Mus musculus: one gene and its partner. The main gene of each other region encodes a partner of the protein of the gene in region 2 in a complex. Links are inferred from orthologs where the notes say so. Each region holds a gene or a part of one and is shown on either strand. Other genes may lie near its edges.

Region 1 (4,793 bases), on a different chromosome or scaffold from region 2:
TCTACCAATGCTAACAACAAAAATGTAACGTACAAAGCGCATGATTTCTTTTCTGTGAACAAAGCAGTTGCCAAGTATAAAGAAATAGTGAGAGGGTTAAGGATACAGCTCAGTTGATAGATGCTAGCCTAGCATACATGATTCTTGTTAAGTATAGTTTGTTTTGTTTTGTTTTGTTTTTCGAGACAGGGTTTTTCTGTGTAGCCCTGGCTGTCCTGGAACTCACTCTGTAGACCTGGCTGGCCTTGAACTCAGAAATCCACCTGCCTCTGCCTCCCAAGTGCTGGGATTAAAGGCGTGCGCCACCACTGCCCGGCATGATTCTTGAATTAGATCCCCAGTACTGAACAAAAATTTAGGAGTAACAGCATATACATGTAACCCAATGATCAGATGGAGGCAAGGAAGAGCAGTTCAAGGTCGCCATCCTCAACTATGTAAGGGAGTTTGAGGCCAGTTTGTACTACATGAAAAACAAAAATTTTTTTAAACTGTAAATTATCAGAAATGTATTCTTCAAGATTCAAGTTGTAACCTTGTTGCTTAAATTTGTTTGTTTTTGGGGCATGATGGATCTCAGCATAAGAGAGGCAGAGACAGAGGCACTCAGATCTGTCAGTTTGAGGCCATCCTGGAGTATGTGGACAGTTCTAGGCCAGCCAGAGTTACATAAGATTCTGCCTCAAAAGAAGCAAAACTAAAAAGCATTGCATTTAAGTAATTTGAGAATATAAGTTCACACCATTCACAAACTAAACATATGTTCTCACTAGTCCTAACCCCTGAAGCCTCATTTAGTATTTCCAATCAATAAACATTTCTATTGTTTTGCTGTCATTATTTCAATGTAAAATTCTGAATTGTCATTGAAAAGCTAACCTGGTTGGCTTTCTAAGTTGCAGTGTTCTATTTAGCAGCACTGTCATAAGAAAGAAAAATATAAATGAAGCTTACTCAATACAGCAGCTAGTGTTCTGTCTTGTAAATTCATTCAAGACCCATTATTAATCTGTTCAAAAATATTTATTGAAAAACCAACTCCATGACAAGTACTGTATATATTATAGAAATGAACATGGAGTTTCCAGATGGCAGAACAAATGTTAATATTGCTCTGTGTTCCAATCTACTTTAGCTCTTAAGAGCTGAAAACAATCCACTGTAACTCCCTAGCCACATATGGGGTTTGTTTGCATCATCTAAAAGTCTCTTGAGTTTATGACATCTTTCTAAGCTCCTAGAATAGTTCTTTGTAAACACATTCCCTGTAGACACAGTAGGCATACATATTAACTCAATTATCAGTACTCCTAAGACTATATCGTATCCTTAACATCCTAACTATAGGACCTACATGAATATGCATACTTAGGAGATGAGCTTCTACACAGCATTATTAAGATTTGTAAAACCAAAAAAATTTAAATTAAAACAAGAAAGACTTGTAAAATTACAAAAGTATTTTCTTGGGAGAGGTTGGCTGGCAGCCCAGGGAATCTTTGCAAAACAGAATGTACCTTGGTGACTTCATCAACATTTAAGAGATAGCCCCTCAACTTTAAAACTACTTTATTTACACAGAATAGACTAGTCTTCCCACTAGTAGATACACAATTTCAATGTACTCTCAAAAATGATGAATTACCAAGAAGCCTTGTTATAACATTCCTGTTTAAAAAACACTGTCCAGAGAACTAGGTATTTAGATTTTTTTTTTCAGCAGGCATATACTGTGTAGGCTCTTCTACATCAAACTACAACCAGAATGACACTAAGAGATTTTAATTACCAATGGAAAACTGTTGCACTATTTTTGTTGTTGTTGTTTTGGTTTGGTTTTTTTTTTTCGAGACAGGGTTTCTCTGTGTAGCCCTGGCTCTCCTGGAACTCACTCTGTAGACCAGGTGGCCTTGAATTCAGAAATCCGCCTGCCTCTGCCTCCCAAGTGCTGGGATTACAGGAATTAAAGATGTGGGTCACCATTCCAGGCTCAGTATTTAGTTTTCCATTCATGTACAATTAAGCCAGAATAACAGCCAGAGGCGACAAAGTTAGAGAAGCTAGCAGTTTTCAGGAGCTTTTGTTGTAGATTTTGATTACTGGGCTGTTTTTTTTTTTTGTTTTTAACGCCAATCTGGTCTCCACAGTGTGCAGGTCAGCCAGAGCTACACAGTGAGACCATCTCAAAACAAAACAAAAATCCCTCTTGTGTACATTCACTGTTCTGTGGTACTGTGCTGTAAGAGCTTCACTCCACCTATAAGAGCCTCTTAGGGAAGATCGTAAAGCAGACTTAAACAAATGCAAAGAAACGGAGAGGCCAGGATCTGGCCTCTTCTAGACGTTACTCTCCAACCATTGGTGCTGGAGTCGCCAAGAGCGGAGGGAGGAGTGAAGGCCTACAGAAAGCAAGGCAAGCTCACGCCCTGGTCACTCATACACCAACCTACAAACACTCAACACTTTGTTGTGGTCTTTTGTGTTTTGTTTTCTGAGATGGGCTATCAAACTGGAGCTCAGGCTGGCCCGGAGCTCGCTGCAATCCTCCTGTCTCAGCCTCAGAGGTGGAATCACAGGAGAAATCCGTTTGGCAGGTTGAAATTGAAACGCGAGGGAGGGATACACACAAAAGTGCTTAGGCGTGTGCTGCCCCACAAAGGAAGTTCTAGAAGCATCCCTGGAACTTGAGTACTCGCTTCCTGGCTACCTGGCCGCAGACCTTGAGTCTCCTCAGGAGAGGCCGTCGTCGGGTCCCCTCCTTATTAGCGGCCACTCGTTCCCTTCCTCAAGTTCGCACCTCACCAGAGGCCCCGGGTCCCATGGCTCTCAGGAGAGACTGGCAGGTCCCACATCCTCTCAGGAGAGACCCCCGGGTCCCACCTCCCTTAGGAGAGACTGGCGGCTCCGACCTCCCCTCAGGACAGGCCCCCGGGTCCCGCCTCCCCTCAGGACAAGCCGCCCGGCCCGGTCTCCCCTCAGGACAGGCCCGTCTCCTCAGACCCCGCCCTGTGGACTACGTGAGACCCAGGCCTCACGGGGTGCGCCGCCCGCGGCGACCTCAATCTGCGCGCTCCCCGGGGCCTTGCCTCGCCCCTTCCTCCTCTCTCCGCGTCAGGAAAGCAAGGCTGGCGAGCAGAGGAAAGCCCTCACCGAGTTCACAGCGTCCTGCAGCTGAGTGAGTCTATCCGCCATGTTCACCACGCACGCAAGGGTGCGCAAAAGCTGCTAGAGCGCGAGCGATTGGCCAATTTATGACGCCTCCGGACCAATCACAGGCCTTCCTCCTTGAGGGGCGTGGTTAAGGAAGCATGCTGCCGGGGAGGGGCGGGGCCAGCCTGCGGGCCTGCTGACGTCAGGCGGGTGGGATCCAGGGCTGGTGTGGGGGAGGAGGGACGCGTGCAGGCTGAGCTGCTACGGGTTCGCGTTTACGCTGGACCGAGCCTGTGAAGGGAAGGTGCTTCCTCCATTCTGTCTGTTAGCTCTGACGAGGCTATGCCTCACGGTGTAGTCCTGGCTGGCCTGGAATGTGTTTTGTTTGTGAGGGGTTTTGTTTTTGTTCGTTCGTTTCTTTGTTTTGTTTATCTGGAACACTTGTTTTCCTTTGCTTTTACTTTGCAGGTATACCACAAAGCATACTCGCAGCCCGCCATTCACAACATTTAAATTCGAGAAATTAACATTCTCCAGGAAATCAAAATGGCTAGAAAAGGGTGGCTAATTAGTTTGGGGCAGGAGGTGCTTACCCAACTGGAGACTAGATTAGTGCTTTAATTCTGAGTGGGAGTGCCTGGGGGAAATGGAAAGCATTAAACAGCTCTGTGATGAGGAACGGGTGATAAGTAAAGTGAAAAGGAGGAAGAAGAGCATTTGAAGGTAGGAGGTGCAAACTCTGTAGACCAGGCTGGCCTCGAACGCAGAAATCTGCCTGCCTCTGCCTTCCAAGTGCTGGGATTAAAGGTGTGCGCCACCACGCCCGGTCTAGGCAGGTTCGATCTTAAGAAAGATCAGCTTCAGAATGTAAATTTAGAACTGGGGCTTCCTGACAGTTTTCCGTGTGAAGGGTGATAGCAGAAAGGTCATTTCTGTTAGCCTGGGGATATTCTGATGGGAAGTGAGTCCTGAATCTGCAAATACCTGGTTTGTGGAACTCAGACAAACTGTTTATCATAGTTTCCAAGATGATCATTTCTGGAGTTGGAGGTGGGTGGGTATGTGAGCCTGTTTTTTGTTGCTACAACTGAATAGCACAGACAAGCAATTACAAAGAACGTTTACTCCCTACAGTGTTCTGGAGGCTGGGAAGTCCACTATCAAGGTGGACTGTCATCGTGAGAGAGCCTTCTTGGTGAATCCTAACAGAGGAGGACATAACAGATGAGGAGGTTGGGAGGTATCCACCAGAGAAGACTCCTCAGATGTGGTTTAAGCCAACAGATAGTCATGATTAGCCAGCCATCGACTATACTGGGTATTCAGGATCCCAGCCTTCCTCAGGGTGAACTTTCTAGCACAAAATTCGTATCTTGAGTTGACATGACTCAGTTAACAAAAATAGTTGGGTAGAAGTGTAACTACAGAAACCAAAAAGCAAGGTTAGTACATTTACAGACTTTCCCAGAACTATGGACTTTGATATGGACTTTTATTTTCGTTTTGGCAGGTGGTGCTGCCTACATCCTCAGTTTTATGATACTTCATCGTAGAGTAAGTTGTGCTAAAATCCGGGCCTGTTACAAGGCAGGGCAAGAGAGCACACGTCAATCACATTATAGCCCATCAACATGAATGGGCCC
Region 2 (5,122 bases):
TGGACAGATTAGAAAATGAGGCATAGTTAAACTTTGCTGGGCAGGGTCACAGCTAGGTGTAGCAGAGCCAGCTCCTGGCATCCTCTCCAGAGCCTCCTGAATTCAGATAGTTCAGGAGTTGAGCCACTCAGTAACTGGGACCTTGGGGATGCTATTGCACCCCGATTCTGAGGACTCTGTGAAATGACCTATGTGTTCGGGCCACCTTCATTCCAGGGTTTAAGGTTTGTGGTAGTCTCAAAACTCCATTCATATGTCAGATTTGTGCCCGCTTTATTTTGCTTCCACCGCTCTTTCCAGCGTTTTACTCTTCCTTTGTTTCTTGGAGACAGTGTGTAGACCAGGCTGGCCTGGAACTCATAGAGATACGCCTGCCTAATTCTACCTCTTTCCAAGTCAACTTTCTCCCTTTCTCTATTTCCACGACGAAAAGTCCTGGAAGGCAGTCTCCGGCATCAGCACTTCTCCCAGTCCCATTACTCTCTGAAGAAGGGATGCTGGTTATTATTGACCGCTTGGAGCTGGAGGAAGGGCCTGCTCCCCTCCACATAGCCCAGTGTGAATGTGGCACCTAAGAGCGCTGGGATCATCTATGTAAGGAATGCCTGCGTGCACGCACAGAGTGGGCGCCAAGGGCTCCAGCAGCCGGGATGCTTTAGGAGCTCAGCGCTCGGGAGGCAGTGAGTCCCGAGCCCTGGCTTCCCGATGCCTGGGTTCGAATCCCGCGACCCCGGGCAAGCACCTCGCTCGCTGCCTTTGTGTCTCTTTGAGTCCTACTCCTCCGCCCGGTGCGCTGCGGCAGGCAGGCCGGCGGGCGGTCGCGCGCGAGGTTTCGAGGAGGAGACACTCCTCGGCTCGCTCGGCCAGGCCGGGCCGGCCCACGCCGCTCCTCGGGGACCCGAGATGCTCCCCCAGGGGGGCTCGGAGGCCGCTCCGGGGAAGCCGCGGCCCTCTTCGGCCCGCGCCCGACGCGCGCCCGCGCCCAGGGCGGGGCGTCCACGCAGCCCCGGCGTCCCACGGCCGCCCGCACCTCTTTCTCTTCCCTCCCTGGCTCCGTCACCCCGCTCCGAGAGGGCCGCGCTCGCTCGGCTCAGCAGCGCCTCCCGCGAGCCACCACCGCCGCCGCCGCCGCCGCCGCCGCGGCCCCTCCCCCGCCCCCCGCGCGGCCGGCGCCCGTCACGTGACGCGCCGCAGCCAATGGCGGGCCGAGCCGCGGTCGGCGGCCGCCATTGCTGTCAGAGCGAGCGAGCCCGGGGAGGGAGGAGAAGCGCGGCCGACTGGGGAGGAGGGGGGGGGTGGGGAGGAAGAGGAAGGAGGGGACGGCGCTCGGCTGCCGGGGTCGCCCGCTGGCTTCGTCCGCACCCCCCCCTTCGCGGGCTCGCGCAGCGGCGGCGGCGGCGGCGGCGGCTCGGGGCGGCTGCGGGGCTCGCGTGCCTCCCGCGCCGGCGCGGCCGAGGGCGAGTCGCCCGCCGGCTTGGAGATAAACAAGGCGGCCGACGAGGCGGCGAGGCGGAGGCGGAGGCGGCGGCCCTGCGCGACAGAGGCGGGCGGCGTTGCCGGCCCGCGCCCCCCGCCGCCGCCGTCGTCGCCGTCGTCGCCACCGCCGCCCTCGGGCCTCCCGCGCGGGCCTCGCGCCCCTGGTGCCCGGGAGCCGCCGCCGCCGCCGCCCGGCCCGGCCCGCTCCGACATGCCCCGCTCTGGCGGCCGGGCTCGCGGAGGACCATGACCGCCGCGGCGAACTGGGTAGCGAACGGGGCGAGCCTGGAGGATTGTCACTCCAACCTCTTCTCGCTGGTGAGTGGCGGGGCGGGGGGGAGCCCGGGTTGGGGGGCGCGACCTCCCCGCCGCGCAACTTTCTCCTCCCGGAGCCCTGGCGGCGTCGGCGAGCGCGGCGCCCGGCGTGGACGTGCGTGGGGAAGTCGGGGCGCTGCGGACGCCGGGGCGCGCTCGGAGCGCCCACCTCCGTGGCAATCACACCCCCTCCCCTCCCCTTCCCCCCTTATTTTCTTTTTTTTTCTTTTTTCTCCTCCTTCCCCGAAATGTGGAAGGCTTTTCTGCCTTGTGCAGCCGCCGGCGCGGGTGAGCTGCAGGCTCGTCCTCTCTCTCTCTCTCTCTCCCGATCGGATCGGCTGCTCTCCCACTCGCCGGCGTCTGCCTTCTGATTTTTTCTTTCTCTCTTCCTCTGTTTCTCCGTTTTTTTCCCTTTTTTTTCCTTTTAATATTTCCACAATGACACCTGCGATTTCGCCCGAAAACAGTTGATGGAAGGCGATGGTGTCAGGGAAAAGGACTCTGGCAGCCGGAGCTCGCTCGCGCCGTTGTAAACACGGACAGCCGCCCGCCTCTCGGGGTTTACTACGCCGGAGAGCGGGAGAGCCATTGCTCGGAGCCCACGGAAGGTGGAGGAAGCTGCTGCTCCTCGCTCTCCTCCGCTGCCTTTAAAAACTGTTTTCTCTGCTTTAACAAGGAACACACACACACACACACACACACACACACGAGCAACAAGCTGGGCGGTTTGATAACATCGCTTTTATCTGCCTTCGCCTCTCCTCTCTCCCGCTCTCGCCTCTGATAATTGACAACTTTTGCTTTGGAAGTGCATCGCCTGCCTTAATCTCGAACCATTTAGGGTGTCAATTGTTCTTCTGGAAGCCTGGCACCGGGCGACGGCGGCTCGATTCGTCGAAATTAAAAATGTATAGAGCTCCAGCAACTCTTTCCTGGCGGTGGCAGTGACATTTGGTGGTAAATGCCATCTTTGCTTTTTATTGGGTCGTATTACCTAGCTCTGAAAACATTCGCGTTGTTAAACCCGGCGCTTACGCTGATAATGGGAGTGCATGGTCTTTAAATACGCGCTTTGTGCCTGAGTTACTGTGTGTGTGTAGCTATGTGCCCGGGAGAGTACGAATTTGTTTAAATATTGAGCAAAGATTTGTAAACAGATGTAAGGCAATTATGTTTCAAGCGTAGAATATAATTGGAAAATTGGTTGAACGGCCTATTTAATTTAGCCTTAAAAACTCAACTTATTTTAGTTGTGTGCCCAATTTTGGTGGGGAGGGTGCTGGGGGGGAGGGTGCTGACTTTTGGAGAGCATGCATTTATTGCAAATTATTTTCTGGAACCCCTGCTGCAGATAGAAGCTTTATTTCCTTTTAGTCCTTGTTTACACTGGATAAATAATTTAGTGTTCAAATTGTAATTAGTTACATTTAATTATGGGTGGCATAGATGCTTTTTCTCCCCTTGGAGACTAGTGGAGAAAGAGGAATTGTTGCCAACTTTGGAAGTGTCATTCTGTTTTCATGCTGATGAAGAAATCAAGCATGATTTTGGCCTACAAAGACACAGGAGTGACACAGTCCCCCTGCTCCCACTCTTGTAAGCAGGCTGATTCCTGATCACCCCGAATTTTATCCTGAGGCTGTTTCGAGGTTCAGTTAGAAGTTGGGGGTCCTTCCTTTTACCCCTGTGGTAATTTACCGTTGATCTTTTGATGTGAGGATAAAACTACTTCTGTCTCTTTTTTCACCCCCCCCTTCCCTTGTCTGTCATTTATTATTAGGTTCAGGGACCTTCATAGATCAGCAAATGTATTGACTAGGCGGTATTTACCCCCCCCCCCAACCAATTTGGTGACTGGGTGACCGCAATGACACTTTTATAGGTAATTAAAATAACCAAGTCAGCTGGTGTTAGCTGGGGAGAGCTCCCACTTGCTGTGCATCAGGCTGAGAGCAGTGCTGCCTGTGTGCATGTGGCTAATGTATACACAGTGTGTTGTGCAGGCAAATGCATGCCTGCTGACTGCACAGCTCCACTCTCAGCTTCAGGGATCTATGGGGTAGAGATGAGATGGTCCGGATTCTTTCTTTAATTTCTGGACTTTGATTTTGACTGCATTCTGGGTATTTCTCCGCTTAAACCAAAAAGTTGACTTGAATATAAAGTACAATTAACTTTTTTGGGTAACTCCATTGAAATGCAGAAATGGCTTAGATTAGTTTTAAAATGTAACGTATTTCCTGATACCTCGAGGTAGGTAAATGCTGTCTAGTTGTTTAAGAAATTTATCTTTATTTTATATGCATCGCTGTTTTGCCTGCTTGTGTGAGGGTGCTGGGTTCTTTGGGATTGGAATTAGAGACCATTGTGAGCTGCCACGAAGGTGCTGGGAATTGAACCCAGATTCTCTGGAGGATCAGTCAGTACTCTTAACCCCTGAGCCATCTCTCCAGCCCTAAACTTTCTTAGAAAACCAAGCCAAATAAAAGAGACCCACGGAAAACCAAAACCAAGAATAAACTGCCAACAGTCCTTTATTCGGATTCTTAATTGAGAATTTTTTTCTGAAGAGCATACACACAGCAGCAACCTATCTTACTTATTGAGAATACATTGCGTAAAGAACATTGTATAGAATAGTTGATTTCAAAGGAGAGGCATCCTTTCAAAATCTTTTTTTTTTTTTTTTTTGTCAGAACTCTAGGTACCTAGCATTTTGTATTTTTGAAAAGTTTGGCCTGCAGTTTTGTTTCTGAGTGCAGAATAGTCACTTCTGGAACACTACCCACCCACATGCTCCTGTTAGCTTGGATGGAGGTGTAAGCTGGAGCCGAGCCCCGAGGGAACGCGACCCACTACTTCCTGAGATCCTGAGGCCATCGCCAGGGCTTAGCAAGGCTGACTGAGCAATCAGGCCTCTTACGATTCTTGTTCCTAGGCTTTGACTGAGTTTGTTTTCTGATACTGCCTGGAGTCCTGTTTCCTACTCTTGCTTTTCTGTCTCCACCCCCACCCTAACCTGTGAAAGGCCATTGGATGGCTGTGATATGGGCCCTTGTGCTGTTTCTCTCTTCCTCCTGTGAGATTTGTAGCCACTGCAGGAAATCCATGCCTGGCTGGGCCTCTGTGACACAAAACTTTTCTCATGGTGGCCATCAAATTAAGTGTGCTAAATCTTCATTTTTGGAAAATGTAACCGTGTACCTTGTGGCACTGAACTCACCCTTAAGGGAAGACACATCCTAGTTTCCAGATGCCCAGTGTATCTTTGTGTGTTTCTTCTGAGATAATGTGGAGAAAGTGACTTGGTGCCCTTTAGGCTAGACTTAAG

What was found.
Region 1: Med13l (region 2) and Med21 share a complex: the UniProt entries of both Homo sapiens proteins name them as parts of the mediator complex. The link is inferred for Mus musculus from reciprocal best matches to the Homo sapiens genes MED13L and MED21.

Annotation. Positions count from the first base shown.
Region 1 is NC_000072.6:146,641,010-146,645,802, reverse strand, and holds the start of Med21 (mediator of RNA polymerase II transcription subunit 21), read right to left. Parts: upstream 3,225-4,793; 5' UTR 3,193-3,224; coding exon 3,151-3,192; intron 1-3,150. UniProt on the Homo sapiens protein: Component of the Mediator complex, a coactivator involved in the regulated transcription of nearly all RNA polymerase II-dependent genes.
Region 2 is NC_000071.6:118,559,064-118,564,185, forward strand, and holds the start of Med13l (mediator of RNA polymerase II transcription subunit 13-like), read left to right. Parts: upstream 1-1,655; 5' UTR 1,656-1,722; coding exon 1,723-1,794; intron 1,795-1,798; exon of another isoform or gene 1,799-2,748; intron 2,749-5,122. UniProt on the Homo sapiens protein: Component of the Mediator complex, a coactivator involved in the regulated transcription of nearly all RNA polymerase II-dependent genes.